2 linked regions of the Astyanax mexicanus genome follow. The protein of the gene in region 2 interacts with the protein of the main gene of each other region in a biochemical or structural test. Links are inferred from orthologs where the notes say so. Each region holds a gene or a part of one and is shown on either strand. Other genes may lie near its edges. The genes, in order: ppp2r2ab and ppp2r1bb.

Region 1 (16,138 bases), on a different chromosome or scaffold from region 2:
CACTTTACTTGAATGGTCCTCATTGATGCTCAACTAACATTCAACTGCATGTCTATTAACCCTAGAACACTAACATTAAAACTAGTAACATCATATACCATTGGGTAAAAAAAAAAAAAACTATTTTTTTTATTTAAATCAGGTAACCCTTAACAGGTAATGTCCTAACAAACAAACAAAATAGCGCTGCTGGGATCTTTGGTTCACCCATTCCTGGGACATGTGCCTGATTTAAACACACAAACACTAAAATCAGGTAAATTACACTCATAAAATATGTTACTCTCTATCACTAACATCAGATAAAAATCACCCAATCGCATGCCTCTTGAAAAAAACATAGATGGAAGGAGGGAATCAACCATTACATTACAACTACAACTATAATATTATAACTATTTAATGTAACCCTACATCCAACTCTAACCCAAACTCTAATCTTAACATGTTATGATTGGGTTTAGGGTTAGATTTAAAGTTTAGGTTAAGGTTAGGAGTAGGGTTAGGTGTAGGGTTAGATTTTAGGGTTGATTGATGGTTAAAGTTAATCAGCATTCATTTGAATGTCAGTTGAGCATCAACAAGGCTATAAAACAGACAACCCAAGTAAAGAGCTACCCATCATTCAAAAACATTAAAGGGCCTAAAATAAAATCTACCATATTCTATGAGATGACATTTCCAAAATACTTTGTTACTATTACACTTATATAGCAGCTTTCTGCCACTCAGGGCACTGAGGGATGCTTAAATTTACATTTCACACACGCAGCAGCCAATCGTGCACAGCGTACTCTCAACCGGAAACCACCTGGAGGACTGCATCCAGTTTACCCTCGGCATCTGGGCATATAGCCACACACATTCACACACCAGAGTTTAAATTTTTTGGGCAATTTAGAGTATCCAGTTTCTCCAATATCCAATTTTTGGGCACTTTAGAGTATCCAATTTATCCAATATTCATTTTTTGGGCCATTTAGAGTATCCAATTTATCCAATATAATTTTATTGGGCAATTTAGAGTATCCAATTTATCCAATATTTAAATTTGGATAATTTAAAGTATCTAATTTATCCAATATCCAATTGTTTAGGCAATTTAGAGTATCCAATTGATCCAATATCCAATTTTTGGGGATTTTACCTGATTTCCATGGAACTCAACCCAGATAGGGACATGAACCCAAGACCTCAGCACTGGGAGGTGAACGTGCTAACCATTAAGCCAGAATGTTAGAATGTCCGGTACAGCAGAGGACCAGTGATATAGATTACACCCACAGTAATAATGAACATACAGAATAAGGACCTGTAACCTGTAATATACTCAGCTAGTCAAAGTAGTTAGTCACAGTAAATAAAAAGAGTTTAGAACACAACACAGAAATATCAGGGACTTGAGGGCTTCCATTTACCTAACATCCACCACCTTCTTCAGAATAGGAGATTATAAATTAGCTAGTTAGCTATTTAACAAGTATTTAGAGCTTCTGATTACATCAGTGTTTTATTATATACTGAAGAAATAAGTGAAATGGCTCTAGTCCACATAGCAGAATAAGGTGGATAACATTCACAAATCAGGTCTGCTTTGTAGCTTTTTACTATGACTAATTCAAAAAGCCAATAGTCAGAACGGGTGGAGCTAAAATCCTAATAGGTAGGTTGAACCTACCATATGATAGCATATGCCCTAATGATACAATTCAGATACTTTAAGTCATAAACTAGACAAAATACATGCAAACTGAGACATGCTGTATATCTGCCAGTGGTGTAAGCAACTTTTTCTTGGCACGATTTGTGAATTGCAAAGTCTGAAAACCTTTAACATCCATCACTGTGCGGTAAATACAGTTACTCTAACAAAAGCAGGATGAACTCTTTTAATAGCCTTGATTTCAGCAGATACAATGGATGTACAGGTGTTCTATTACTTTTTGCTTTAAATATGTGAACTGAGAAGTCAAGAAATTATGTTTCTTCTGGAAAAATCCATTTTCACCATTTCCAAAATTCCATTTTCCATAATATGAGCCCTTTGCTCATCATATTGTCTGTGTTTTTTGCTTTTTTGTTGACCCAATGCTTTGTGTTTTGTATCCAGGTATGGACTATGGAGGCAAAAAGGCTGTGAAAGGTTAACTGGGTTTATGAAAAATTCCATTTACTCTAATAGAGGCCTTTTAATCACTACAGGAAAAACCTATCCAACTAATCTCAGCTCACTAAACCACTTCCCTCACTTTGGATATTGCTGAGATAATGGATTGTGAAGCCAGGCCTATCAGTCCAAATGAGCAGCCTGTATGTACCTGCAGCAGCAGCAGCATCAGCATCAGCATCACCAGCAGGGTGATGCAACACTGCCATCTGTTGGCTCAGGGGTCTCGGTCCCGAGCTTCACGCCTCGCTCTGTGATAAAGTGTTCACATTAGGAGCTCCTGAGACTCGTGCTGCCAACCAGTCTGCTGGATAGGAAAGACAACCATCTGCTGCCGTATTCCTGGTTAAGTGTTTACCGGAATACATCATCACCATTATCTTCCCTTTCAAATGTGCTCTGCTTCAGATCATTAGCCCACTCTGTCAAACTGCTCCGCAAAACCTGCTCACCGCGCTCACGCTTTCTCGCCCGCCGCTCTCCGCTCTGAATTATGGGCTAAAAAACTTTCCTGAATATTAAAAACTGAATTAATTCTGCATGCGCATTCACAGCATGCTGGAGAAAGAATTTAAATAATAAGAAATAATAAAGAAAAAAGAAACAACGGTGATCTGTCTTTTCTATAAAACAATGAAGATCTTTTTCCTATGTGAAGATGTGAAGAGTTATCAACCACACATTTAGACAGTTATAGCAGAAAAGTGTATTAATGTTGTAATGTAATACATGTAATACATACAGTACTATATAGTACATATATACTATAGTACATATATGTAATAAGCAAACCCCTGTGAAAAGGAAGTGTACTTAAGTTCATTAAAAGTATGTTCAAATCAGGTAAAGAATACTAAACGTGCATATTCAATTTATTATACGTTTTAAAAATAATACACTAAATATAAATTCTTTAAAAGGTATTTCTAAGCTATATGTACTTTTCCTTATTAAGTATACTTTTACAAAATATACTGAACACACTTTTCTTTTACAAGGGAAAACATGGCCTTTCTTAACAGTATAGTCTGAGGAGAAGGACTAAACATCATGAATATCAATTACAGTAGGCCATAATTAGTCAAAAACATACTTATTTTATTAATAATAAATCATATTATATGTATTATATTTTAAAACAAATTTTGACTTCCCTTAAAAGACGTGTGACTATGTGATTTATCATCTAACATCAAAAATGAAACTCAGTAAACTCAGTAAAGGATAATATCTGGATAAGGACAAACCACATAAAAATACAAATGTAAACACACCTAACACATTTAATCTGATGATTTAAACCACTTCAGAAGATGGTCTGAGAGATTTAAAACAGACACAAATCCGATCACTTTAACTACTTCAGAAGTTCATCAAGCTCACTATGTAGGGCACTATTACGGGGTACAGAATTAGAAAACGATTTAGGACATGCCATTATGTCTGTGGGTATTCTATGTACAATTGTGTGCATCATTTGTACACTGTATGTTACAGTGCACTGAAAACCCAAACTGTTGGATCCCCAAAAGAGTGCACTATAATATAGTAATAGTAGGACAGCAACAATTAGTCAACATTACACACACTTGGTTTGCTTTCTCTCTCTCTCTGTGTGTCTTTAAAGAAGGTGTAAACACACCAGATCAGGGACAAGACAATGACCGTACCCACTGTATTTCAGCTCACTATACATGTTTTTGTGTTTTTGCTGTCTCTGGAGCGATAGAGAAAAGCAGGGAGTGAGTTTACCACAAGTTACTGCTGCTGCACAGAGAGCAGGTAGAGAAGGACAACATTTCTTCTAAATTCCAAATAACAATATTGTCAATTAGAGCATTTATTTGCAGAAAATGAGAAACGGCTGAAATAACAAAACAAAAAAAGATGCAGAGCTTTCAGACCTCAAATAATGCAAAGAAAACAAATTCATATTCATAGTTTTACATTTTAAGAGTTCAGAAATCAATAATTGTTGGAATAACCCTGGTTTGTTTTCAATCACGGTTTTTGCTATGCGTTTTGGCATCATGTTCTCTTCCTCCACCAGTCTTACACCCTGCTTTTGGATAACTTATGTATATTAACTCCTGGTGCAAAAATTCAAGCGGTTCAGCTTGATTTGATGGCTTGTGATCATCCATCTTCCTCTTGATTATATTCCAGAGGTTTTTAATTAAGTAAAATCAAAGAAGCTCATCATTTTTATGTGGTGAGGTTGTGTGTGCTTGGTTTTCTCATTCCGTCCTCTCGCTCCTTCCCCAGCGAGTGTGTATCGCCTCCTTTGTGGCGGAGTGAGGCAGGTTGACGGCGGCTGCCAGTCGCTGCCGCGGTACCTGAAAGCTGGGTCACTTGTTCAGCTTCCACATGCCTACACAATGAGTCAGCCTCTCGGCTGCGCTCTTATCACCACCTCCACTGCTGCTCCCCACAATCCTGTCTGTGTGCCTACAGTCACTCTGGGAGAATTGCGCCATTTTCTAATTCAGCAGCTCGGCTCTGAAATGGGCTCGCTTTAGCAGCTCTCCGCTGCCCACACCAAACTCAATGGCCCGGCTGCCTGAGAATGAGACGGGATGGATTTGCTAATACAGAAAAGGCTGTTGGTTCGTTGTGAGCACATGAGGCCTGTTAACACCGGCGGTCAAAAACAAATTGCTTGCATTGGCGCATGTTGGAAACTGATGTTTAGCAGCTGTTTCTGATTAAACTGATACTGATGGGGTCTCCAATGGGACATTTTAAAGCACCGTAGAGGTTATTTAATACATCCAGACTTGATTTAAACCCCACAGAAAGCATGCAGTATATAGGGCTATGCTCTCAGCAAAAATGGCCCTAAAAACTAGAATAACCGTTCCCATATATTAATAATAGAGATGTATGCCATAAACCCATAGGTTTGAGTTGGGTTGGGTCAGTTTGGTTTGGTTTGGTTTGGTTTGGTTTGGTTTGGTTTGGATTGGGTTGGGTTGGGTTTGGGTTGGGTTGGGTTGGGTTAAGTTAAGTTGGCTTAAGTTTTGTTTGGTTCAGGTTGGGTTGGGTTGGATTTGGTTTGGGTTCAGTTGGGTTAAGTTAAGTTGGCTTAAGTTTTGTTTGGTTCAGGTTGGGTTGGGTTGGGTTTGGTTTGGATTCAGTTGGGTTAAGCTAAGTTGGCTTAAGTTTTGTTAGGTTCAGGTTGGGTTGGGTTCGGTTTGGTTTGGGTTCGGTTGGGTTAAGTTAAGTTGGCTTAAGTTTTGTTTGGTTCAGGTTGGGTTGGATTGGGGTCAGGTTGGTTTGTTTTGTTTTAGTTTGAATTGAGCTTGGCAGGTTTGGTTTGGGCTGAGATGGGTTTGGTTTGGGCTAGTTTTGTTTGGTTTGGTTGGGTTTCCTCTCCTTCAGTTTTGCCCCTCAATCCACTTCTGTTTTATTTTCTCTTCCAATGATTCATCTTAATCCAACATGTCCTCTCCTCCTTTTCATCTTCCTTTTCTCTTTCTTCATACATTTCTTCCACCCACTCAATGTTTTACACTTCACTCTATTCCTCCTCCTCTCCATCCTTCTCTTCTCCTCCTCCACATCTCTTCCATCCACTTTATCTGTATCTTACAATTTCCTCTATTTCTCCTCCTTTTCTCAATCCTCCTCTCTTTTCTTGTCTCCATCATCCTCTTCTCCTCTCTATATACATTTAACCATTCCATATTTATCTCACCCTTTCCTCTATTCTTCCTCTTCCTCTCCATCCTACTATTCTCTCCTCATCTTCTTCATCCTACCCCTATCACATTTTACGCACTTCCTCTTAATCCACTTCTTCTCTTCCCGTCCATCCTACCCATCCCTCTTCTTCCTTTCCTTTCCTCACTTTCCTCTTTACCTTTGTTTCTCCACCTTTTACTCTCATCATAATTCAACCTACAGCTCCTCTCTCCATGCTTCATTCAACTGTATTCCTCCTCCTCTCGCCTTCTCTCCAATCTTCTCCCCATCCTACCCATCCCTCTCCTTCCCTTTCACAACTTCGCTCTTCTTTCCCTTTTAATTCTTTTCAAACTTACTCTTTTCATAATCCTCCTCTTTTCCTTCCTTCCTCTTCTCCATCCTCCCTCACCACTTTCTTTATTTCTCCATGTTTTTCTGTTCTCATTACTTGTTTCTGTTCTCATCTCCACCTCTCCATTCTCCTCCCTTCTCTTCCTCTTTTCCATTATTCCAATTCCCTCTATACCTCCTCCTCCTTCCCTCTCTTCATCCTCCTCCTCTTCTCCTCTCCATCCTACCATTCCCTCTATTCCTCACCCTTCCAAACTTCTCTCTCTCTCTCCATCCTACCCCACCTTTTTCACTTTTTCACTCTTTCCCTTTGTTTCTCCAACCTTTTCTGTTCTCATTTCTTGATCTTTGTCTCCTCCTCACTTCTTCTTCTTCTCCCTCTATCCATCCTCCCTTTTCCTTCATACCTCTCCTTCTTCTTTCCCTCCCTTCCTCCATCCTACCATTTCCTCTATTTTTCACCCTTCCCACCTTCTCTTCCTCCATTCTCCTCCTCCTTTTCATTTTTTTCCTTTATTTCTCCACCTTTTTTATTCTCATTACTTAATTTCCATCTCCCCCTCTCATCCTCCCTTTCCCTCTATACCTCCTCCTCCTTCCCTCTCTCCCTTCATCCTCCTCTTCACTCTTTTCGTCTTCATCTTCTCCTCCCTTCTTCCTTTTCTCCCTCTATCCTTTCATTTCATACCTCATCCTCCCCTCTCTCCCTCCAGCCTTCTCCTTCTCTTTATCCACTTCACTCTTTCCCTTTATTTCTCCACCATTTTCTATTCTAATTACTTAATATCTATCTCCCCTCTCCATCCACCTCTTCTTCTCTTCTCTTCCTCTTCTCCATCCTTCCTTTCAGTCCATACCTCCCTTCCTTCTTCCCTCTCTTCCTCCCTCCCTCTCTCCATCCTCTTCCTCCTCCTCCTCCCCTCACAGAGCGGCGCATATTGACGGCGTGCTTTGGGAGGAGGTTGCGCCATTTTGGCTGTGTAGCAGGAGGAGAGTGGGAGGAGGAGCTGGAGGGAGTGGATGAGCTGTGTTTCCACCGCTGGGCTCTCAGAGGAACCGGAGAGACACTGTAGCTAAAGCCAAAAACAGCGCTGACCACCCAGCCCCGCACCCACCGCGCCCCGGCCACGCACCGCCCGTCGCCCCGCAGCTCTCTCAGCCGGACTGCTCTGCAGGAGCGCGGAGCCAGGAGCTACTGAGACCGGCCTCCCTCTCACCATGGCAGGTAGCGTGCTAACTGTGCTAACAGTGCTAACTGCTAGTTAGCGTGCTAACTGGGGCTTTAACGCTTTTAACTTAGATATCTAGCTGACGTTTTGACATGGGGCTATTTCTAGCTTCATTCGGCAACGTTTAAACATCTGAACCTTCATTAACAGCACGTTCAACTGATGCTTAGGGTGATTGTATGAAAGTATTAGTGATAAAAGACACAGTTTGGTGAATGTTAAGCTAGGTGGGTTAGCCGCTAGCTTAAGAACGATAGCTAATTCAAACGGGCGTTCACGTTTAGCATGTTAGCGTTAGCTAGTTAGCCTAGCTAGTTAGCTTAGCCACACACTGCGGCCGTCCTGCCTGATTTTCTTTTTCCCTCCTTAGACTGTTCGTGATTATTCTCGAATTTCACACAAAACCTATAAAATAATCCACGATTTCATCTCTTTATAGGCTTGGTTTAAATGCTGTCTATCTATCGATAATGATAATTAAACAGTCAGCATTATTTAATGGATAATTTGGCGAGCTAACTCTTAGGTTAGCTTAGCTAGGTTAGCTAGCTTAGCTAACTAGCCTGAATTCCCTCGCTCTTTCCCAGAGCAGGTGGACTGATTCCTTTTTCCAGTCATTTATTTATTGATTAGCTCACTAGCTATTTGGTTAAACTCAATATATTTATAGCTATTTAGTTCAATATATATATATATATATACAATGATATTGTAAACCAGCTATATCATTGTCTATGCTATCTAAAGCTAGCTAGATTGGTTTTAACGAGTGAACTTTAACCAGTCGTGATCAGTTTTTGGTGCTGAAACTGAGAAGCGTGTACTCCATCAGTCTGCCCACCACAACAAGAAACATGGCAAATTTTACACAAACTGTCTCAATTCTGCATTAAATTACTACATATTCCTTTTATTAAAGTTGTAGAACTTTTGTTTTGGCCTAATATTTGCAGTGTAACCGATCTCTAGACCCGTTTTTAAGTATTGGTACGAAATTCAAAATTGAGTCCGATACATTCAGTAAACAGCTCATTCATGATGTTTTATTGTTTTTGGAACATGACTGTGTATATTTTAAGATTAAACCCCGATGTAACATAAATTACAATTTTGTAACTTATGTTTTACCAGTTACTAGGTTCATTAAAGTGTTTAAATTGTTGAAATGGTCAGAACAGAGCTGAAGAAACAGAAAATACACTTTTTAAAAGGAGCTAGTTTTGTTTAATCTCAAGCACTCTCAGCACTACTAGTCACTATCTGAGTTGTATAACTTTGTTTTAGCCTGATATATTAACAGAGAAACTGATCATTTAACTATGAGTGTATAAAAGTAACTTTTGGAGACTTAAAGCTAGGTTGAATCATTTCCTCAATTCAGAGGAAGCAAATCATTAAATGGAAAAAAAAAGTGATTTAATATAGTTTGAATCAGTACTGAGCAGTATGACCACAAATGTATATTACAATATTTTTCAAGATTCTGGCAGTTTCATGGTATATCACTTAATATTTTTTTATGTATTTATTGCATGACTGGACTTAAATATAGGTTTGTGGCTTACTGTACTGTTATGAGTACATATAATATAAAACTATGTGTTTGAACGAAGGCTTTGATTAGTATTGCTTTACTTTGTTCCCCAAAATTACACAGTATATGAAGAAATCATACTTAATTAGCATAAAAACAGCTAATTAATGTGAACAACAGATCTTAAAAAGAGATATGCCAACACATTTAACATGACAATGACATCCTTTACAAAACTATTTTTTTATAGTTACATAAACACTAGAAATGGACATAAAATACTCAGTGTTTAAGTATTCAAAAGATATATTTCTCAAAAGCTATAAACTGCCCAGCACTAGTTTGAATTGAAACTGACCGATATGGAAAAGTTGATATGATATTTCTTGATTTCGGCTGGTACTGTCCGTCCTGCAGGTGGACGGTGGTTTCTGGTTGAGAGTAGGCTGTGCACGATTGGCTGCCGCTTTTCAATGGTCTGTGTGGATGAGTGCTGCTTAGCTTTTAGAGTCTTGGTCCTGAAACTGTACCACATCATTAATCACGATTAATCACACTTTTTGTTTCTTAAGACTAAGTTTTATTAATGGGTATTTAAATTTGAATCCTCCCGCTTATTCATCTTCTACATTTTCATCCTCTTTTTCACTTCCTCTGCATCCTACTATTGTTTATCCTCCTTGTTCTCCACTTCCCTTTTCCCCTTTATTTATGCCTTTTATCAACAATTTACTCTAATTATTTAACCTTCTGCTTCTTTTTTCTGCCTCTTCTCCATCCTGAAACTGTGAAGCGTGTACTCTGTCAGTCTAAACATGGAAAATGTACAACAAATGTACAAACTGCCTCAATTCTGCATTAAATTACTACATTATTCTTTATCAAAGTTGCAGAACTTTTGTTCTAGCTTGATATTTACAGATAAACTGATCCCAAATGTGTTAAAGTAGCAGTATATTTTGCAGCTATTTGGAGGTTAAAACACTTCATCAGTATAAAGGAAATAATCTATACAATTAAGGGAAAAGAGGAAATTATTTAATAGTTTGAAAATTCCTATTTCAGCTTTCACTGTACAACAGAATGCCTTCACAATTGGATTGTGCCATATCATTTCATACACAATAAAATCATAAGTCCTTTTAAAATATTGTGAACAATATTATATAATATATGTGAAATATGGTGCCATATCACCCATCCCTAGTTATCACATCAGGGTACTACGTTTTTGTTGCTGTTTTTAGCTAAATAAATATCCACACTGTTCTCATTTCCCATTATACATCAGATTATATCTGTGCAGTATAATTAATTATAAATTAACTCAATCCTGGATATATGGAGATATTTGGTGTGCATTATAATTAGTATCATGACATTCTGGATCATTGACTTCTGTTACAAATCTGCTAAAATTCTTGGTTCTTAGATTTTTTAAATATCTCAATTTATATCATATGCAATAATACCATTTAACTTTCATTTTGTTGCAGTTGTATTTTTATTTATTCTAAGTTTCTTTTTTTTTTCAATTCAGTGTTTTGTCATGTCGCCAAGAGTATTGTTATCGCAGAAATACCATGAAATATCGTGATGTATTCAATTTTAGGGCCATATCGCCCACACCTATTAGTTACAAGATTCCTGATGTAAGTGGGGAGAAGGCCTGTTAAATTTGGTGTTTTAGGTGGCACCTCGTGGCAAAGAACTCTCTAAGGATGTGGGAAATAGGATTGTTACACTCCACAGCCCGCCTAGTGAACTCACTCAGATGTTCCTTCATGTTCCATATAAGCTTCAGGACCTGTCTTGCAGTAATAATTCTGTTAAAACTAGACAATGAGAAGCTCCATCTCCAATCCAGGTCTGACCAGTTTATTGTGCCAATTAATGCAGAATCGCAGAGGAGTTGCACCAACCTGTTTCCTTTATCCATCCCTCGCTCCAGAGCTAGCGTTAAAGACATGAAGTCATAGGGTGTGATTTGCTTCAAAGGCCGAGCTGAAGCTGTTCTTTCAGGCTTTATTAATTGCGGCTGGGTTTTAAAGTGAGTGGAAGACTCTGCAAGGTCACAGATCTTCTCGCTGTCTGTCTCGCTTCCATCCTGATACGTTTTATGAGACCGCCACGCATCACACATCCTGGTCTTTCAGCACCTTTTCTTACTACCTCTTTTGCAGATTGACTCAGCTTTTCCCCTTTTTTCCTACCAGGCTGCACCATTCAGCGTGAATAAGCTGGATGTGTTTCTTATTCAGACTCACTTCCTGTTCAGAAGCTCTAATTTTGGTGTAATATAGTCTAGGATCATTTGAAAAGTCTTATTTTAAGAGATGGATCGGGTTGATTTCAGGGTACGTTCTGTCCTGATTTGGCAAAGTCAAACTGCTGTGGCTGAAAAAATCTTAAAACTTCAGCTTTTACAGTAGAAGGGGTAAATTATAGAAGGATTTTATTTTATGAGTGATATGGCCCTAAAATAATATCACAATATTTATACTTTTGTGATACCAATAATCTTGGCTTTATGACCAACATTGACTTTAGGGATGCACTGATATGGTCATATGGTAATTCTGGGCTGATGTAAAAATCCAATATTACATATGAACATACAGCTTCTGAATCAGTTTCTCCAATTTTGCTATTTCTAGGTGTATGTTTGTGTAAAATTAACATTGTTTTATTCTATAAACTACGGACAACATTACTCCTAAATTCCAAATATAAATATTGTCATTTAGAGCATTTATTTGCAGAAAATGAAGAAAATGAGAAATGGCTGAAATAACAAAGATGAAGAGCTTTCAGACCTCAAAATTCAAAGAAAACATGTTCATAATCATAAAGTTTTAGGAGTTCAGAAATCAATATTTGGTGGAATAACCCTGGTTTTTAATCACAGTTTTTATGCATCTTGGAATCATGTTCTCCTCCATCAGTCTTACACACTGCTTTTGGATAACTTCATGCCTTCACTCCTGGTGCAAAAATTCAAGCAGTTTAGTTTGATTTGATGGTTTGTGATCATCCATTTTTGAATGTAATTATATTCTATAGGTTTTCAATTTGGTAAAATCAAAGAAACTCATTTTTAAGTGGTGTCTTATTTTTTGTCCAGAGCTGTATATACCTGCCATTTTTTATTAAAGTTTTAAAGTAGCGTCTTCGGTGTGTGTCTACAGCGTCGTTCGGTTCTTCAGTCTGGCATATAATAAGACAGACAGCAAATACCGGTTTAATGTTTCTAAGATAAAAAAAAAGAAAACATTAGTTGATAAATAATACAGATATATTTAACAATGGTGTGTATTATTATGGTCATGTAAAAACTTTGTTTCTCCAAAATGGCAACGTTACAGGAAAAGCAAAAAAAAAAACAGTTTATATTAATGAAAGTTACTTTTAGCGTTTTTAGAGCATTTCCTTAAGCTCTTTAATCATAAAACAACTCTTGGATTTCAAAAAAAAAAAAAAAAGGCAGACAGAGTAGCATTTGGTGATAAGCTGTATTATATAAAATATTTTATTCTTAAATGCTCTGCAGTTGTCTCTAAAATGACCGCGCAAGTGTATGAAGATGATCTTTCTGCAGGAATTTAAACCACTTTTTAAGTCACAAACCAAAGTCTGTGTGCTGTAAAATTATTGGCCTGAGATGCCTGTGATGTTGAACATGGCCTGAGTCTGTGATTTTTGCCTGTATTTGCTGATCACAAATGATTACAGATAAAACAGTAAAGCAGTTACCTGTATTAATTCATATTGGTGCAAGGACACTTAAACACACTTTTGTTTGTTTCGTGTGTGTGAATGCAGGTGCCGGAGGCGGGGGCAACGATGTGCAGTGGTGCTTCTCGCAAGTAAAAGGGGCCATTGATGATGATGTAGCTGAAGGTAGGTGAACTTTTTACTTTTGCATTTTCCCTATACTGTCATCGAGCTGATGACAAAGCCGGAACCCCTGAAATTCCTGTGTTTTAAAAAATATTATTGCATCTAAAATGCAATAGAATATCATTAAAGAGTTTTTCAGTAATTCAGTTCGGAATGTGAAACTCGTATATTATATAGATGTATTACACACAGAGTGATGATTATGAAGCTTACAGCCACTGAAAACCCAAAAATCAGTTTTAAAAAATTGTAATATTATATAGGACCAATTGATACTTTTGGAAGTGTTGTCAGTAGCAGAGGGAAGCATGAAGTGCTGGAAGATTTTGTGGGGAAACAAAACTGCACTGACTTTAGACTTGATAATAAAACACAGTGGATCAACACCAGCAGATGTTGCACATGACTCTCCAAACCATCACTGATTGGTGGAAACTTCACACTAGACCTCAAGCAGTTTAGACTTTGTGTCTCTCCGCTCTTCCTCCAGACTCTGCTCCCTTGATTTACAAATGAAATGTAAAATTTACTGATGATCAGTGATGGTTTGGAGAGACATGTCATCTGCTGGTGTTGATCCACTGTGTTTTATTATCAAGTCTAAAGTCAGTGCAGTTTTGTTTTCCCACAAAATCTTAAAGCACTTCATATCTTACAGCTTCTCTCTGCTGATAACAACTTTTATGGAGATGCAGATTTCATTTTCCAGCAGGACTTGGCACACTGCCCACACTGCCAAAAGTACCAATTGGTCTTATATAATTTTAAAATTATATGAGATGCTGATTTTTGGGTCAGTCTTTTCATAATCATCAATAATAAAAGAAATAAATGCTTTGAAGAGATAAAAAGTTTTTTCAAGGATATTCTACTTTTTACTTTTTTTTATAAGGTGCACTAGTATATATTGGGGAACAATAAAATAATAGTCTTAGTTTTCTATCTGTTCTATATATCATTAAATGCGCCAAATTTATTGGCAGTGGTATGTTTGAAGCAGTGTGAAAAATGCTAGTGTTCCTTTAGGTAGTCTTTCAGGGATAATAAACGAGTCCCAGCATCAGGAATTGTGCAATAACTGTCAGACTGGATTTGACTTATTACTGATTGTTTGCAAATATGTATGAAGAAGTGGGAGCGCAGCAGGTACGTCCTGCCTCGTCATGTTCGCAGCGAGCCGGCTCTGCGCTGCACACCGGAGAAATGAATTCCATTACTGTGGCTGTATGTCAGATCTGCACCATTCCAGAGGAGGAACGTTTTGATCCTGCATGGCTTTGGCTGAGAACATCAACCTCAGCGCCCACATGCTGTGGCTTGTTGTTGGGAAGCCTGGATGACCTAGTGTTGGATGTGTGCTTTTAGAATCCAGCAGATTGTTCTTTTCCAGAAGAAACATATCGTATTGTCCTCAGCAGTAGTGATGTACTGTAGCAGAGCATCGGTATAGATCTGCCACCACGGTTTGGTATGCATTTAAAACACAAATTACCATATTTTTCGCACTAAAATATTGCACCTAATATCTTTAACTTCCCCAAAATTTCTAAAGTGCGCCTTATAATAGTGTGCACCTTATGTATGAATTCTAGTAGCAGTAAAGCCGCTCCACTGAAGTACAGCGCTACACAGGAGTTTCAGTGAAGTTTCTCCAGCACCGAGACTGGAGCTGTATTAGCATTAGCCGCTAACCGCTACCATGTTAAAACAAGCTACTGCCTTACTGGAACACTCAGAATTTACTAGCGCTAAGCACTGCTGCTAACCATGCTGTTGAAAATATTGGTTAATCTAAGCTTACTGTAAATAAATGGAAGCGCTTTACTCACCCAAAATAACAGTTTTTAGGAAAGAAATCTGTGTAGATTAACATCCAGCACTTGTTTGACTAAAAGAAAATGTTTGGAAGGATACTGTGTCCTTTCCTCCCTTAAACAGTGAGAATTAGACATGGTGACACCCCTGTTCCCTACTATTGTCGCTTAAACTGTGCCTTATAATCTGGTGTGTCTTATGTATGAAAAGAAACCAGAAATTAGACTGTAATTGGTGGTGCGCCTTATAGTCCGTAAAAAAACGATACTTGATTATGGGCGTTTTCACACCCGAGATTAAAGGTTCATGTGTCTTTGTATCTTTGTACATTTAATCCGGTTAGTTTTGGTTTCACACTTCTCTTTAGTGACTAAGGATGGTTTCATACTAACTTCAGACCTTTCAGTTTGAGTCTGAACAAAAATTGTGGGTGTGAAACCGGCATGAAACAGTCTGCACTTCAGAACCAGAGTTTGGGCTCAACCAAAAGAGGTGTTTTCAGTGGTCTGGATCTAATGAAACATGGTTTGATTCTTCTGCAGTGTGAAACACTGTGCTAGATGGTTTTAGACTTTTTTTTACCAATTACAGGAAGCTGAGTCAGTCTTTTAACAGGGTTCGTAAGGTCATGAAAAATCTGAAAGTCCAGTACAATTCCCAGGCCTGGATACGTTTTTTTTTTTTTTTTGTTTTGTTTAATAAAAAATCCTAGAAAGTTTGGAAAAAGTAATGGAAAGTTGCAATCTACAAATGTGTGCTTCTCTTTATCGATGGAGAAAATCTATTTTTAGCTAAAAAAAAAAATACATCAGCTCAGATTGAAGATTGTGTCAACATTTTTAATCAAATTAATTTTTAAACCTACTTTAATCTATTTTGACTATAGTTTTAGTTGGTTTTTGGTTTTATTGTCCATGTCTGCATAGACGTTTGAAAGATAGAATGGTCACGGAAATTTAGCTTAAAGGCAATTAAAGGTCATGAAAAAGTCATGGAAATTTATTGTTTTTAAGCAAACCAGAGGATAAAGAATGGGTGTTGGCCACAAATGCTTAGAATGGGAATTCATTTATTTACTCTAACAGTAGATTTACCCTTATTTATAAACTGAACACAAGAGCACGCTGTTCCTTGTTAAATATGCTACATTTTTTGGATGTCAGTACAATTACTCAAATATATTATATTTCTCAATTCCATGGTACTGCCCATGTTCTCCACATTGCATAAAAAAGGATTATTATTCACTTAAAATTCTTTCAGTTCTGTCATGTTTTACAAACTGTCAGTTTTCCAGCAATATATGAGCTGTACAGGACTAGAATAATACCTTTAGCTGAGTGAGCAAACGAGCTAGCTAGCTAACTTAGCCTTAGCATCTGCTTGTTTACAATAAAGAGAGTGACTACATTCTTTTGTATACATTTGTATACATACATTTGAATTGCACTGATG
Region 2 (16,796 bases):
CAGATTAAACTGCACCTTACTAGAAGTTTAGCTTAAATCGAGACCAGATCATAATTTCACTACTATTTTCACTACGTGAACCGTTCAAGAGTTTTCACACCTGCTCAATTGAGAAACACTAAGAGTACAAACCAAATAGAGTCTATTTCAACGCACATACTGCAATCGAAATTATGTTTTTTAAACCCTGTTATCCACATCATGCTCTTAAAACATCACAATAACAAAATCCATCCCTTGGGCATCTCTCAACATTTTATGCTGAACTCACGTAGATGCACTGAAATAACAAAAAAAAAAAAAAACACATTACCTTAACACAAGGCAGCACATGAGTCATGATGATGTTCTCCCTGCTGTCTTCTGGCAAATTTTCACAGAACTCTGGTTGTAAGGTAGAGGAGAAAGCTCATTAAAGAGGAATATGTACATCAAACTCTATTACTTTACGTCTTTACTCAGTTTAAAGTACTTCAATAAAGCAAAACAGTTTCTCTCACTCACCTTTGACCTTATTGGCAGCTGCAGCCCGAACCTCTGCCTCGCAGTCTTTCAGCAGATTCTGAAACGCTGGGACCAGATCGTTCTTGGTGATCTCCGGGCCGACTGCCTTTTGCAACTTTATAAAAAACAAACAACAAATAAAAAATTACTCCATGCTGAATATTAATTCTGACATTTTGTACTAGTGCCAACTAGTGCTGGGCAGTCTATCGATTCATTCGGTTTACCGCAGGGTGAACTTGATCCGGTATGCGTTTCTCTCATACCGCCACGCCACTAGAGGACACTGCGGAGCGCTGTGCGGAACAGAGCCGTCAGAAAAGAGAGCCAAAGCTGCTCTAGCTCCATCCTGCAGAGAAATCTGAACAGCTCCTGCTGCTGTTTCTACTGTGTGAGTGTTTTTATCCCAGTAAAACAAAGCAGTAACTACAGCGCTTTTAAATATATTAATATTGTAGCTTGAAGGATGATTTTACTGTATTTGTTAACTGAAGAAAGAAGGGAGTTGTAGCTGATTAAAAATACTGTAATGCCTCTAATGGCTTCAGGAATAACATATAGTAAATTGATATTAAACTTGTATCTTGTAACTTTTGAGAAATATCCTTTAATACTTAAACACTGTTTTAAACAGTATTTTAGGTTTATTTAATATATTGAATTTTGTCAAGGGAGATAAATTGTTTAAAGTATTAAAGTTGTTAGCATATCTATTTTTAAGGTCTATAGTTTACATTCTTTAACAATTTTCCTGATAATAAAGTCTGACTTCTTCATATATTGTGTATATATTTTGTAAACCGTATACTACTCAAAGCCTTACTTTTAAAACCTTAGTGTTTTTATATTAAAGCCCAGTCATGCCCAAATATATATATATATATATATATATATATATATATAATAAAATATTAATACAAATACCGTGATATACAGTAAAACCGTCAGAATCTTGAAAAACACTGTGATATGCATTTTTGGCTAAACCGCCCAGCACTACGTTTAAGTTACTTGAAAGCAGTTTGGAAGATCTACCTCAGAGAACTTGTCTGCCACCATGTAGCGCACCCTCCAGGACTTGTCCTCGGCTGCCTGGCGCAGGGTGGGCATCACTAGAGTCTCCAGGTCCTCCTGAGGCAGCAGAGTGGCGATGCTGACACAGGCTTCTACTGCCAGAAGCCTCACAGAGTCCTGATGGATTGTAAAGAACACTACGTTAAAACAGAACTTCACCTCCCGGCATTATTTATGGAAGTGCTTACAGTAGCCCAAACACGCTTACGTACCTGCTCATCGGACGCCAGTGCAGTGAAAAGAGGAATGATGTCACTTTTGACATAATCCAGCTCCAGCACTTTAGCAAACTCGCCCAGTTTAGAAGCAGCAGCACGGCGCACCATCGGGGTATCATCAGAGCACAGGGTGCGGAAATGCCTGCAGAGAACATCATACATCAGAAACTCACCAGACATATTAAATAAACAATGGGTAAAATAACTCGTAAGAGTTGTTACAACTAAGCCATGCAATAAAAGCTGTGCAAACAATTGCTAAATATTTTTTATCTATATTACTGTATTTTGCACGGTTGATTTAAAAAAAAGTCAAATTTAATTTAATTTAAAAAATATAAGTTAAGACCCAAAAATGAAGTCATCATTTCTTTGTTAGAAAATAATATATTGTATTGAAAATCCAAACTTGACTTTTTCCCAGCTGTTATAAATAACTATCAGTGTCCATTAGGGTTGCAGCGGTAACCGGTTTCACGGTATACCATGGTATTAAAATGCACGGTTATCATACCGTGTGTGTTTGCTTATTACCGGTAAAACGCAAGCCAGCGGAGAAAGTCACCCGCGCATGCGCAACTCTGCTCCGCTTCAGCTACTCAGCACACAGCGGTGAGAACGGCAGAAAGTGCATCAGACTAGAGCCTAGATTCTCTGCCCGAACCAGACCTGACCCGAGGACCGACCCGAAATCGGGTCCGTTCGGGCCGAGATTTCCCACCACATTCCTCGGGCCGGGTCGGGTTGGGCTCCAGAAAATAGTCTGAGATGTAGGCATCTGTTTTTTAATTATATATTTTATTTTTAAATAAAGCTCTGGTGTGATAATCACAATGTTAATGCTAAGTAACCAATTATTATTGTTAATGAAAACGAACCAAATAACGAAAACTGAAAGTGAAACTTAACTAACTTATTTATAAGCGCTGTTTTCACTCCCGCAGTTCTACAGCGGGAGGTGTTGTGCCGATTCTGTCCGCGAAGCGGGAGTCGGATTGAGCAGGGAGTCGGATTCGGCATAACAGCGGCAGCGCGGCTGCACCTCGCGGTCCGCGGTGTTAGTTGTAAGCGCTCGCGCTAGCCGCAAAATACGACAGAAAACACTGAGAAACTGCAGAATTATGAATTGGACTAAAATGAGCACGAGGAGATAAAAGAGAACCTTTACCTGTGAGTAGCTCACATCAGAACACGCAAATCTCTCTCTCTCTCTGTGTCTCTCTCTCTCGCACGTGAACTTCTCCGCACTGTGTTTAGCTGTTCTTAAAAATCATTTTTATTAAATAATAGTTCTATGCTTCTATGTTAGTGTTAATTAACATAATTCTGATCATATTTCGCTCATTCAAACAGCCTGAAAACAGACTTGTAATCTTGTAATCAACAAGCTTGTAATCAATGTGGCCGTAGTCACAGCTAAAGGAGGAAATACATCAAACCTGTTCTCCCATCTCCGAGAACACCACCCCGCTGTGCAGCGCAAAGTATGTGTTCAGTTTATAATTTTAATCTGAACATAAATAAAACTTTTGTAGTCGTGCACAACCCATGCGGTAAGCGCCCGCAAAAGCGCTGAGTTATCCGAAATTTGGGCACGCAGGTACAGGCGTGAAGTGCGTGCTACGATGGATTCACGTGTCCGTGTAAAGGTCCTGGCCGGACTGGATGTGAAAGACGCCATTCATTTACATGCGTTAATTTTCTAATTCTGACGTGCCTGTTTTTCATATGTTGAAGGTTTTAAGGTGTGAAAGCCTTAAAATAGAAATCTCTATTGTGAGGATCATGTCAGAAATAAATCCCCTCTTTCTGCAGTATCTGGTTATATACCAACTTTTTTATATATATATACGCTCTTAATGCCCTTAAGAGTAGTGGGAAAACATGGTTTCCTTCACCTGATGGTGTAGTTTCTACAATAAATAGTTAATTGAACAAAAAAACTTTGTTGTAATTTCTTTAAGGGTCAGTTTAATAATATATGTAACAAACTGTGATACCGTGATAACCGTGATACCGTGGTATTTTCCGAGACGGTTATCATACCGTGAAAATCTCATACCGTTGCAACCCTAGTGTCCATTTATCATTATCTTATTTGGCCATATCTTTAAAAACAAAAACAACATAAAAATGCACAAAAAAAAATTGTAAAGCTTACAGGTTTTGTTTTTTTACCCCATAAAAAAAACTGCACAAAGTGAAATGTTTGAGAATCGCAGTTGTAAAATAAAGCACACAATTTGTAGCTATTTATTAGTCTTGGTCAAGACTTATGACATTCCAGTTAGCTAACTCGCTGCTAACGTTAGTTAGCTCGACGCTAGTGTTAGCTAGCCCCCCGCTAATCTCTGTTCTCTCTCTGCATTAGATGTTTACAGCAGGCCACTGTGCTTTCTTACCAACATTAAACATACTGTTGCTAAAGGTTTTTTTTTATTTAAATTATTTTAAATTAAAAAAATGTAATTTAAATCTTAATGTTTAATTTAACCACGGGAACCCTGATATTTTGCTTGTATCAAAATACAATTATTCAAATACTTTTAAAATCTCAGCAAAAAAATAAAAACCTTTAACATCCAAAGTAATTCCATAACAAGAAGTGTACAAGGGTGTTTATCCCAAGTTTAAGACTCAATTTTCCATACTCTCCGTTAATCTCTTGTTTTGTACCAAGAGATTCTCCTGTTTTTGTATTATGCAGATTAGTGTGAGATATGAGATGTACAGAGCTAAAACTGTAAAACAGAAGAGACTGCAGTAATTCTAATAAAGGGCATACCACCATGTTTTCTGATACTGTTATGGACACTGAAATATTGAGCACTGGCCAAAACCTGATACTGAACCAATTTGTTTTAAATCTGAGCTGAACATCCTCGTCTATATTTTCGGCTAAATTTGTTCCAGGAATCAATCAGACTCTTCCCCTTCTTCCCAAATACCAGTCATTTAATATCAGGCATTTTACTGTTGGTACTGGCTCAATCCATAAATTCACAGAAGCACAATAAAAATGCTAAATTCTAAGATAAATAAAGTCACACCTATTACAGTGTACTAAAACTGAAGCAAGTAGGGAGTTTGAGTGGTACGTACTGGCGGATCTCAGCCTTGACGGTGCTGGAAACTCGTGGATAGCACACGCTGAACAGGCCACAGGCAGAAGTACGGGAGGTAAACCAGTCACCGCTGGCCAGGCGCTTCACCAGAGGCTCGAAGTGCACCTCCAGATCCACAGGAGAATGCTCCTGCGAAATTTTCCTCAGAGACTCCACAGCCTTGTCTCGCACTACTGTCTCCTCCACGGTGGCGAGGCTCTCCAGTGGTGGCTGGTGGAGCAATTGAAGACATAAATAAATTATTTCAAGTCTTTTACTTTATACTCTTATAAAACTTATTGAAATAAAATATATGAAATCCTGCTGGTGTGGATTAATCGAAGTTAATAGTTAAGTGATGCACACAAAACCAAATGACCACTTACAGAAGAGTCTTTTACTGACAAAGTGAGCATGTGGGCACAAGCTATAGGTATCCTATTTTTTGCACTGTAAGGCGCACTTAAAATCCTTTAATTCTGCTGAAAAGCCTTCAGGTCAGGTATTAAGGAGCAGTAAAGCCACTCAGCTTCAGTACAGAGTTATACAGGAGTTTCAGTTTAGTTCTCCAGTATCGGGGCTAGAGTAGCATTACTCACTAACCAGACTAAGCGCTAGCTCTTCGGACAGTCAGAAGGGAGTCATTTTTTACCTGTAGCCTGCTGCTAACCCTGGCTAGCACTGCTGTAGCAGCATTAGCATTAGCCACTAACTGCACTCTCTCTTTCTTTGTTCAGAGGCTAGTATATCAGACTGTAGCCTGCGTGTTTACGGTGTTAAAATAAGCTATGTGGGACAAACTACTAGCTAATATTGCCCTGGCTTAACAGAACACTCAAGGTTAGCAGTTAGCCACTAATGATAATGCTCTAGCCTTAGTGCTGGATAAATGTGGGAATAACGGAGATAAATCTCTGTAGATCTACATCCAGCCAAGGTTTTTTAGTTTTTTAGTTTGGTTTACTTGGCTTAGCTTTACTTAACTTAGTTCGATACCCCTCCCCAACCCCACAGCAGTGAGACCTGCTAAATTAGAAGTTGGCTAGTTTACTAGTGTTGCTCAAAACACTCTCTAGGGTGCCTTATTAGTGCAAAAAATACAGGTATATAGATCTATACTTCAATAATAACCTCAATTTTGTTTGTTACTGAAGGTATTTTAGCAACTGCAAACAAACAAACCCAAAGTGACATCCTTATTGCCTTTACAGCTATTACAGCCGTAACGGGATAGGAATGTGTGTGTGTGTGTGTGTGTGTTTTTAACAGTAAAAATGTAAAACAGAAACTAAAAAGTGAAAATTAAATTAGAGACAATAATGTGCATCATGGGTATATACGTCATTTCTGACTCTTAAACTGGCAACTCTGTTACTTACCAAGAGGCAGTGGACATACTCCGGCCCTCCAACCAGCATGGTGAAGTTACCCAGCTGCTCAGCCAGGGCAAGAAGCACCTCGTCCTCATCATAAATAGTGTCTGCATGACCAGAAAAAGGACATATTACTCATATTTATATGTTCAAAGGCTTGCGTTCTGAGAATGAGAGATATAGATATATATATATATATATATATATATATATATATATATATATATATATATATATATATATATATATATATATATATATATATATATATAAACACATCTAGAGGGATAATTCCATAAAGATGTCATACCAGTGAGGAACGGCAGAAGCTCAGTGCGGGTCCTCTCCACACCCAGGGCCAGGGCGATAGTTGACAGCTTTTTGATGCTGTTCAGACGCAACTGAAAATGGAAAAAAATAAACATATGAACATTTAGCTGGGACACATAAAATATAGAACATTTAGAAGAAATATTAACAGCTAAATAAATGTCCTCAAGTTTAACGAGACCCTTTACTCAAACTGGTATATATAAAATGAAGAAAATTGGTTTATTTAAACCAAGGAAATATTAAAATTAGAAACATTTAAAGCCTCTAAACCATATTTTCTACCTTGATGTTTGTACATGCACATGTGACACGTTACAGCAAGAGAAATTAGCATCCTCACTATGATGAGGAGAGATGTATGTATGGTGTTTTCTTGAGTTACTGGTTGTTGAGTCCAGCGCCAATGAACCTGAGTTACATCCCTATCTCTTGGTACTGCTTCTAGTAATAACAACTGACCATTTTTCATCAAGTTCAAATGGTTAGCTGACAATCAAGCATTTAAATCCTACACTCCTGTAGGACAATCCTACACAGCTGTATCTATTATTTTACTAGGAACATTACCTGTACACAGGTGACTGGCATGGCAGAAATAGTCATTAACTAATTAAAAAGAAATAATCTACATATTTGTCAACTACCAAAATAATCATTAGTTGCAGCCGTACTTGCTATGGGAACTTTTGTTAAGAAAGAGACATGACAGTGGGGAGACATGCACAGGTGTGTAGATCTGAGCAGGTGAGGTAAAACATGTGTTTGAACAGGAGCCGTGCTCATTAGTAAATTATATTCAAATTAACTTGCTCTCATTTTAAGAACCATTAAATCAGCCAATTTGGTTGATTATTTTACACTGATATTTGCTGATGTATTTATTGTATGCCAGAAAGGATAAAGCAACATTGGCCATGACATTAGTATGGACCAACACACACCACAATACTTTATTCATTGATTTAAATATTTTTTTGTAGCTTCTATCTATGGGTGGATCTATCCATCCATCTGCCTGTCCATCTATCCATTAATGATGAATCGATTCAACTATTAATTATAGATCCATCCATCTACCCATCAATCTATCCACCCATCCATCCACCTAGCTATGCATTAATCTATGGAGGAATATATTAATTCATCTATTTGTCCATTTATCCGTTATTTATTGATTCATCCATCTACCCACCCATTTATTTACCCATCCAACCACCATCTACTCATCCATTCATGATGTACCCTGTTTGGGTAAACAGGGAGAGCGGATGCAGACGGAGCTCATCTTTACCTATTAAACTATAGCTAGTTAATGTATTTTCCCAGAATCAATAACACATCTGGCTATATAACAAATCCAGCTGGTTTATTTAAACTAATCAATAAACCTGACTGTCCACTGTCCCGGCCGTTAACCCATCACACCTCTGACGGAAAGCTCTGTTAGCATTAGCATAGCAGGATGCGCAGTCACTGATCATATAATCTCTATAAACTAAAAACACGGTGATCACAGACTACACATCCTCACTTCTTTATAAACTAAATACCGCAGTGATAAACTCTGTAGCGCTATTAAACAGAGCGGTAGCTGGTGTACAGCTCTATAAGCTGTTATATTTAGCTTAGCTAGGTTACCTAGCTACTGCTGCTAGTTAGTTAGCGTTAGCGTAGCTGCAGCCCGAGGCCAGCCGGAGCTCAGGCCGCCGCCCGCCCTCCGCGCTGAGCTAGCATTAGCCTCTCACAGCTCTCCGCCACATTACACCACCTCCAGCCTCACAGCTCCCCGGTTTAACCGCGTAAATATACTCAGAAGAAGCTGAACACGAATTCACGGCTTACCTGAACGTCTTCATTCCTCAATTCGTCGATTAAAACCGCGATAGGGTACAGAGAATCTTCTCCCTCAGCTCCGGCCATTTCAGCGTCCTGTCTGTTTCCGCCTCCACTGCGCAGCTACTGAAGAGCTCTGCAGAGAAACACCCGCCAAAATAAGAGCACAGCATACAGCACGGTTAAAGCGTTAAAACATTTATTAATTTATAGAAAATCCAATATTTATATATTTATTAACCTTCTAAGGCATGATGTTTATTTCAGGAAACAAAGTTATTATTATTATTATTATTATTATTATTATTATTATTATTATTATTATTATTATTATTATTATTATTATTATTATTATTATTATTATGGCGGCTGATTTTTAAAGGATAGAGTACACCATAGAGCACGGTTAAAGCGTTAAAACATTTATTAATTTATAGAAAAATATAAGAATATGCCTAGAAGTAATGGGGAACAAATATTACTATTAACCCTCTACGACATGATGTTTTTTTCAGGAAACAATTGTATTATTATTATTATTATTATTATATTTTTAATATATTTTGTATTGTTATTATTATTATTGTAGCTGTTTTTTTTTTTACCTCAACAAATATGAAAATCACACTATAGAGGGTTAAAATAAACACAACATTTACAACCATAGTTAAAATGATACAATAAGCATACAGAAATCTTACTAAATAGCAAAAAAATTGCACTGTGTCTTTTTAGGGGTGGGATCTTTTAATAATTATTAGTTTATATGTAATTGTGTAATTTAATAATTTCCAGTATTCTTGATAAATGAACAATTTTAACCAATAAACATTTCAAATAACAATCTATCTTCAAGCTATAGTTCAAACAGTTGCATAAGGTGTTTGGCCTTATACGTGAAATAAGGCTGAAAATCTTGTACAGCAATAACTTTTTAATGACAAATTGAAATCACAACTGTCTGTGTATATATGTATATATATACAGTGTATATTAGTATATTAGTTTTGTAATATATTTTTATTTGAAAATCAAGACAAAAAATACCTATAGGCTAATTATTTTATTGCTACATAATTTATTCAGTGGTGATTAAAAAGACAAAGCTTCTTACCTAAATGAACACATACACAAAACAGTACACAGTACACAAACGATATAAAACAAAGACGCCTGTAGCCTGTATTACTACAAGACATACAGAAACTGTTTTTACCTCACAGCACATGTCCAGCCGGGTGAATTAAGTTGTTTTGCAGATTGATTCCAGCGGACCAGACACACTGTCACATCTGGTGTGAAATTAGGTTAATAGACTAGCAACCTCACCAAAACACCCTAAAAACAAAGCAGCAAGCCCTTTTTTCCAGTGTGGGGACATTAAGTGGCGTTGGCGAGCACAGTTTGAGCAGTTGGTGTACAAATCTTACAGTATTTTGAATAAATGTTTTTATTTAATTGTCCAGGAGTGTTAGCTTGCTAGTACCATGGCAGTATTTATGTGCATGTTGTAATATGTTGTAATTTGTAGGATCTTGTGACATTCAGGACAAAATGTACTGGCTTTGGACTTTTTTTTTCTGACAGGCATGGCATCAACAACCAAATGATGCATTATGTCAGATGTGTTGATTGTTTGGCACCATCATAAGCCAGGTTCCAAATCCAGGTCCTCGGCTGCAGCCAGTGTAGACTGCATTTCTCGACTGCTGTGTCATAAAAAGCTGTTCAAAAGTGAAGCATCCTTCATATAGCGCTTACAAATGCAGTCTACGTTCAGAAATTTTGGTGCAATTTATGTTTTTTTCTGGATCTGGGCAACCCACACTTTATTTTGCATGTAGAATGTGAAGGGAAAAAGCATCAGCAAAGCCTAGAACAGCAAGGTGCAAAACGCAATTTGCTCTATTTTCTCACAGAAGTTCCCTCACAAGGTTTGTTCTAGGACCTGTTCTAGGCTTTGCAATACCTGATAGATCCGACAGGGACACAAACAAAAATGAGCTTTTTCTTTTAAAAATGAGTTTTAAAAAGAAAGTCTTTTCCTACATCCTGGAAATCAACTTCTACCAACAGGGACTGAGCTTTTTTATTCTAGTTCTAAAATAAAAGTCTATTCCTACCTACCTACACTCTGAAAATCAACTGCTACTAGAAGACTCCGGAGGCAAGCATACTAAAAAAATTGTGACATAGGAAATGTCATTGTCTCAGTTCTTGTAGCTTCTAGACCTTTGGGTGGAGCCAACTTCAAGCAACTAGACAAAACCAACCTGGTGCCCAGCTAACAATTTTTGGTTAGTAGAATGTGTTCTTTAAATATTCAATCTATCAGATTGAATCTTAAATATAGAGCTTGCAAATGCAGTCTAGGTTCAGAGCTTAACAACATTATATAACAAAGTTATAATCTGCTAGATCCAACAGGGACACAACAAAAATGAGCTTTTTATTTTTAAAATGAGTTTTAAAAAGAAAGTCCTTTCCTACATTACTACATTCTGGAAATCTAATCAAAAATTTTTTAGAATTTTAGACAAACTAATGTAAAAGTCTTTGATTTGAAGTAAATGCAACTGGCATTGGTAACGTTACAGAAATAGTCGTACAAGATTGCAGGTTTGCATCACAATGTTATTAGAACATTTCTCACATTATTTTCCCAGTTGTATAAAATATAAACAGTAACATTGCGAAACATTAAAAGTAACATTTCAACACTAAACTTAGAACACTGACACGAAAGATGTTCCAATGATGTTACCAGAATGTTTACAACTTTAAAAAAGGTTCAAGGAACATCCAAAAAAACTTGATAGATTTAGAATCCCAGTTGTGCAGCTTGCCATCAGCTGCTGGAGCCCTGAGAAAGCACAATCGGCCTTGCTCTCTCTGGGTGGGAACTGTAGATGGCGCTCTTTCTTTTTTCCCCCTCATCACTCCTAGGGTGATTTGGATCAGCACAAGGCTGCGTCTGTGAGCTGATGTATTGGAACCGAGTCACTGTATTTTTCTCCGAGCGTTAGCGCTGTGATGCTACTCGGCAATGTTCAGTTCAAAAAGAGACGAAGTCTGACTTCACATGTGTCGGAGGAGGAATGTGCTAGTCTTTACCCTCCTGGTGTTCGGGGGGCATTAGTAGTGATAGGGGGAGTCCTAATGAGTAAGTTGGATTATTGGCTGTGTAAATTGGGGAGAAAATAGGATAAAAATGTACTTTTCAATCATTTCAGTCAATCATTTTAAGTTATCATGTCTTCTCCACAGAATGTTTGTGCTCTGCTGAGTGAGGGCTTGTAAGGAGACTAGAAGGGCACATGCTGAGAAGAGGAGGAGGGGGTCGTCAGCTGTTAATAATCAAGGAGCTGGAGGCCACTGCCGATGACGTCAAGCATTCCTCTTTCCCAACACGCTCCCTCTGATCTCGCCCTGCCACCAGTGAATTGTACACTTCTCTTCAGATGCCTCCCTCATACTTTCCCCCCCGAGCTTATTAATCTCAGCACTCGAGTCCTCTGCACTCGCCCTCTCCGAGGCCCAGGTGTGCTGGGGCCGCTGCCGCCGCGCCCTCCTGTTTATATAACGTCCAGCTAAGCTCTTTCATCTGCTCTCATCTTCCTCTGCTGATCGGAAAGAAGCTGCTCTCAGAGGAAAAGGCCTGGCTGAAGGGTCTTAAAGTCTGCAGTCTATTTCCCATTCCGTCCTGTTAAACATGACCATGAAAGAGAGGAAATACTTGGCTTCGCGTGTGTTGATTAATCAGCTGTGCCACTGATTTTACCCAAGAGAAATACATGCAAAATACATCCTAACCTGCAAAAAGGTCAGACATGGAGGAAAGACACGTACAGAAAAACAGCATGAGCAACAGCGATATTCTCTCACTGCACAGCAAATTTCTGGAGATCAAAAATCTGGAGTCAAAGAAGAATGTGTGAAAGTGTGTCATGGCTGGACAGGACTCAGACACGCGCTGATGCAGATAAAACGTGACTTTATTAAATAACTTTATTAATAAAGGGGCAGACAAAGGGATAGTCAGACAAAAATATACTAATAGGGGCAAACAACAGCAGAAGGGATTTTTGGACATTTCAGGGGTGGTCACTTCTGAAAATCTTCAATTTGATCATTTTTAGTCATATATTTATTAAATACAGGTAATAGACTATCAAAAAGTTTGATTTGTCAAGCTCAGGTATCAAAGCAGTTTTTTAAAATTAGATTATGCAATATATTTGGTAACTTACAGTAACAGGGTTGTGAGTAACAGGGTTGCAAATCTAGGCTAAGTTGTAGTTTAACCAAGGAACAGATGCTAACTGTAAAATTTAGCTATGTATACAAGATCAAGGACAAACATGGTAATATAAGTATATAAAGTAAATTTTGACTCTACTCATTATTAGTCTTACAGTATGAGTAACAGGGTTGAGTTCACTGAGAGACACACACAACTTGGACAAACATATTTGGAAAAGAAAAAAAACGTGAAAATTGTTAGAGCACTTACTCTTGGTCTTGCCATGTGGGCAGAAAATGTCCTTGTGATGTCACTTCCTTAGTGCCGGCAGACAAATATTTTTAACTCTTTCTCTGCAGGTAAAATTCCTTATGGTAACAGGGTTGAGCGCATGTTGTGGGACACAACTTAATAGCATAAAAATTGTAACATGCAATACAATGTAGACCAAAGAAGTTGTTTTCATAAGTAAAGGAGATGCAGATCAACAATATACAAGAGGAAGTCATTTATTTAGAGCTTATTTTAATTGTTAAATTTGCCAAAGGAGTTGGTCACCCAATGTGTGGGACAAGAGAAAACGGCCATTTTTTGAGGTGGTCCAAAGGTATTCGGTCTTTTGAATAATATCTAAGGAGCTTATTTTTCCACCATATTTTATAGTTTGTCTTATAACAAGTACATTTTTCACAAAAAATAGTCATTTATATGTTTTGGATATGTACATTTAAAATTTAAGCGGTGGGACAGTAAATGTACCAAAATCCTGGAATGTTCCATATAACATAGCAGAGTAGTAAACAGTCTAGAGGTCAAACACAGGCAGGCAATATCAGAGGGCAAAAATCGGTGAAAATAGTCGATGAACAAAGCAAGGTCAAAAACAAGAGATACAAAAATAGGCAAAAGAAACGCATTGTATAAGGAAAAAACATCAATACTCGGCAGAGCACAGGTGCATGCAAAATGAGTCCCTTTTATAGGCCAAGAGGCCTAGTATTCTGCTGACTGACTTCCTGGTAGAGGCATGTGATGTGTCATGTGATCATGAGTGAGCGAGTTTCAGTGTGAGGTGCATCCTGGGCAATGGAGTCCGGAGGCTGCAGATCGCAGATAAAGCTGAGTGTGAAAGAGACAGGAGCACTTACAGCACCAGGTGTGACAAAGTGTTAGTAACTGTGTGAGTTTATTGTGTACCAGGCTACAAACAGGGCTGCTTTACAAATTCATGCAATGTAACTCTGTCTTAAAAGCATTTGACACTGTTTTACGCTTATTTAATGTGGGCATAGCTTTTGCTAATACCACTTTTATATTTTGCAGCCTTTAAACACACCTTAAACCTAAATATCTAAAATACTATGATGTAGCCTAAAATACACACTTGCTGCTCATCCAACACTTCTCAGTCTTGACCGTTTGCTATTTTATCAGCCATTGCTCATCATTCTCATGTAATAGAGCTAACGTTCCCTCCATCACCTCAAAGTCCCTTTGTTATCCTAACTTTAATAGCGTTACTACCTGCTTAAGTGCTACACATTCCTGTTCAAACTGTCCCACGGTTTCTCAGTCACAAGCCTGCTCTCCCGGTCTGCTGCTGCTGTCTTCACCTACGGAGGAAGTGGCTACAGCAGCGAACATGTCTGTGATTTTTACACATTTTGTAACAACTACAGTGAATTTCTTTGTGCGTAACTTCTCCGAACAAGCCTTTTTGCCGCATCTGTTTCTCCATACTGCCTCTCTTTAACGCGCTCAACACTGAACGTACCACGGAGAGAAAGGGTGGGACCGCTTTCGTGCTATATCCTGATTGGTTCAGTCCACTGCCTATATTGAAGATAGACCAATGGGTCGCCCCTTCTAAATTGTGGGCTGGTCTCTTAAAAAAAAAAAAGAAAGAAAAAAAAATCCAACAGCATCAGCCCCTGAGGACTGTCAGCCCACCGGGCAAACGCCCGGTACGCCAAATTACCAGGCCAGCCCTGTAGGTATGTAGTCTTACCCACCAGGGCTTCCTTTTATGGTGTATTCCACTCCTATTTCTTCAACATTCAACCATTACTTCCTCCTCAATACCAAATTACTCCACATAATCCTCAACTGCCTTCTAACTCACCAGCCCCATAACTCCATTATCTCTTCAAAGTTTCATTACTCCAGTGTTATCTTCTTAATGGCCTATTACTCCACTCACATCTCAACTCCACATCACTCCACCTATGCCTTTAATACCCAATTATTCCACCCTCATCTCTGTCTGTTTGTCTAAAAACATGGCTAAATCTGGTTGCATCACCAGAGATGGGTAATAAGGGCAAACATCATATTGCACTGGCAAAAACACAGTAAAACAAGAGTTAATACAGAAAGTGCTTTTCCAAAATGGAGTAAAGTATGTACTGAACTGTGTGACATACTGTACTTTACATAATTAAAGTTCATTCAGTTTAATGCTCCGGATTTGTTCACCTCCAAGAACATAGCACATCTAAGTCACAGCCCTTCTAGAAAACCTTATTTTTAGAAGTTTACCATTATTCCTGTCTCTGCAATCTATATCTTACATTTGTGTAGATGTTCCTTAGTGTTTCAGCCATGATGAGGTACACAGATTACTTTATAATGTCTAACTGGATGAGGCATAATGCTGTTCCTTTGTAGCCCTTATTACCCTGAGGAGAACATTTGTTTTCCAAATGAGTCTCCTTGTTCTTTTTTTTAATACGCTGACACTAAAAATATATGAGAGAACACTGAGCAGCAATTTTCTCCTATTTTACAATGTCGTTTTCTCAGCACGGTTGCCCATCAGTAATGGCCAAGGGAGTTTTAGCTCTTTATTTAAAGGATCTGCAGCTGAATGGAAACCTTGCGTTAATGCTTTTAAAAGGACCGGTGTGGTAGGTAGAGTACGGCTGTTTTTAAACCAGCAAAGCTCTGACTGAAAAAACAGCCCTGCTCTACAGTCTGCTGCCTGGCAGGTCTTCTGGTTCACGATGTTTCAACATTAACAACAGCAAATAAGCAAACACATCAACAGCCAGGAGTGAATAACAGGTAGTTATTTTACCTAAGAATAGCTCCAGACTCTGACAACACATAGCTAGTTTTTATATAACGGACACAACCTACAGTACCAAAGCATAACAGAGCAAGCCAAAATTAGACTTTCTGTATTACAAAATGTTATAATACACAGACATACCAAATATCACATGACAGAAGCTAGTATCATGACTTTAGCTATTTCCAATGGAAACCAGAGGTTATACAGGTCCTTTTCTCTTATATGGTCATATTTCGAGATCTTGCCTTGACTTCCACAGTTCCCCTTAACTGCAATTTTGTTATCTGGCAATACACATTCTCCGGGAAATTCCATTCCCTGTTTTATAGGAAAAACATTTGCTTCATTCTCAGAGTGTTAGCATTATTTTTGAAGAAACAATTTATTGTTTAATTGTTTAATTTATGACAAATTATTAAATGCACAAACAAGTCAATTACAGTTTTTCACTTTTGCTTTGGGACATTTTTCACATCAGTATTGAATTTCTCAAAACCAGTTGTTCAATCTGTACATCAGCTAGTCTGCTGTTTCCCAAATTATCAATTGCTTCTGTCCTGCGGATCACAATATATTATTTATTGGTGTTTACCCACCAGAAGAGCTAGCCATTAGTTTAGTTTAGTTTAGTTTAGTTTATATTCTGCTGAACTGGCTTACCTACCAGAACAGCTAACCATTAGTTCACTACATACATCCTTACATTTAATTTAGTTAAGCTTGTTGTCAGAGCCTGCAAAGCAGATTTTATACATTTCTATTAGATTTTTTTTCTGGTAAATATCTCCTGAGTTCATATTTGCTCCGTGGAGTTTAAAAATGGATAATGGATGTTGAAATAATCAGGTAGTCATTATGTTATGCTTAATCTGTGTATAATGATATACAGCACTATTGCTCTGATTTTAGAAAAGATCATCTGATTTGTTTACTTATCCAGAATAATAATGAATGTAATTTATGAAAAAGTCATGTTGTAATATAATAATTAAACTGGATCGAAGCAAAACATACATCTGGATAAAGCTAAGCTTTAACCTG

Evidence for each region.
Region 1: the proteins of ppp2r1bb (region 2) and ppp2r2ab form a complex in vitro, tested with the Homo sapiens proteins (2 studies listed by BioGRID). The link is inferred for Astyanax mexicanus from reciprocal best matches to the Homo sapiens genes PPP2R1B and PPP2R2A.

The regions. Positions count from the first base shown.
Region 1 is NC_064427.1:17,944,449-17,960,586, reverse strand, and holds the start of ppp2r2ab (serine/threonine-protein phosphatase 2A 55 kDa regulatory subunit B alpha isoform), read left to right. Parts: upstream 1-7,157; 5' UTR 7,158-7,423; coding exon 7,424-7,430; intron 7,431-12,790; coding exon 12,791-12,868; intron 12,869-16,138. UniProt on the Homo sapiens protein: Substrate-recognition subunit of protein phosphatase 2A (PP2A) that plays a key role in cell cycle by controlling mitosis entry and exit. Involved in chromosome clustering during late mitosis by mediating dephosphorylation of MKI67.
Region 2 is NC_064425.1:3,303,975-3,320,770, forward strand, and holds the start of ppp2r1bb (serine/threonine-protein phosphatase 2A 65 kDa regulatory subunit A beta isoform), read right to left. Parts: upstream 8,575-16,796; 5' UTR 8,527-8,574; coding exon 8,449-8,526; intron 6,675-8,448; coding exon 6,584-6,674; intron 6,381-6,583; coding exon 6,280-6,380; intron 5,132-6,279; coding exon 4,899-5,131; intron 1,939-4,898; coding exon 1,791-1,938; intron 1,696-1,790; coding exon 1,540-1,695; intron 620-1,539; coding exon 505-619; intron 385-504; coding exon 314-384; intron 1-313. UniProt on the Homo sapiens protein: The PR65 subunit of protein phosphatase 2A serves as a scaffolding molecule to coordinate the assembly of the catalytic subunit and a variable regulatory B subunit.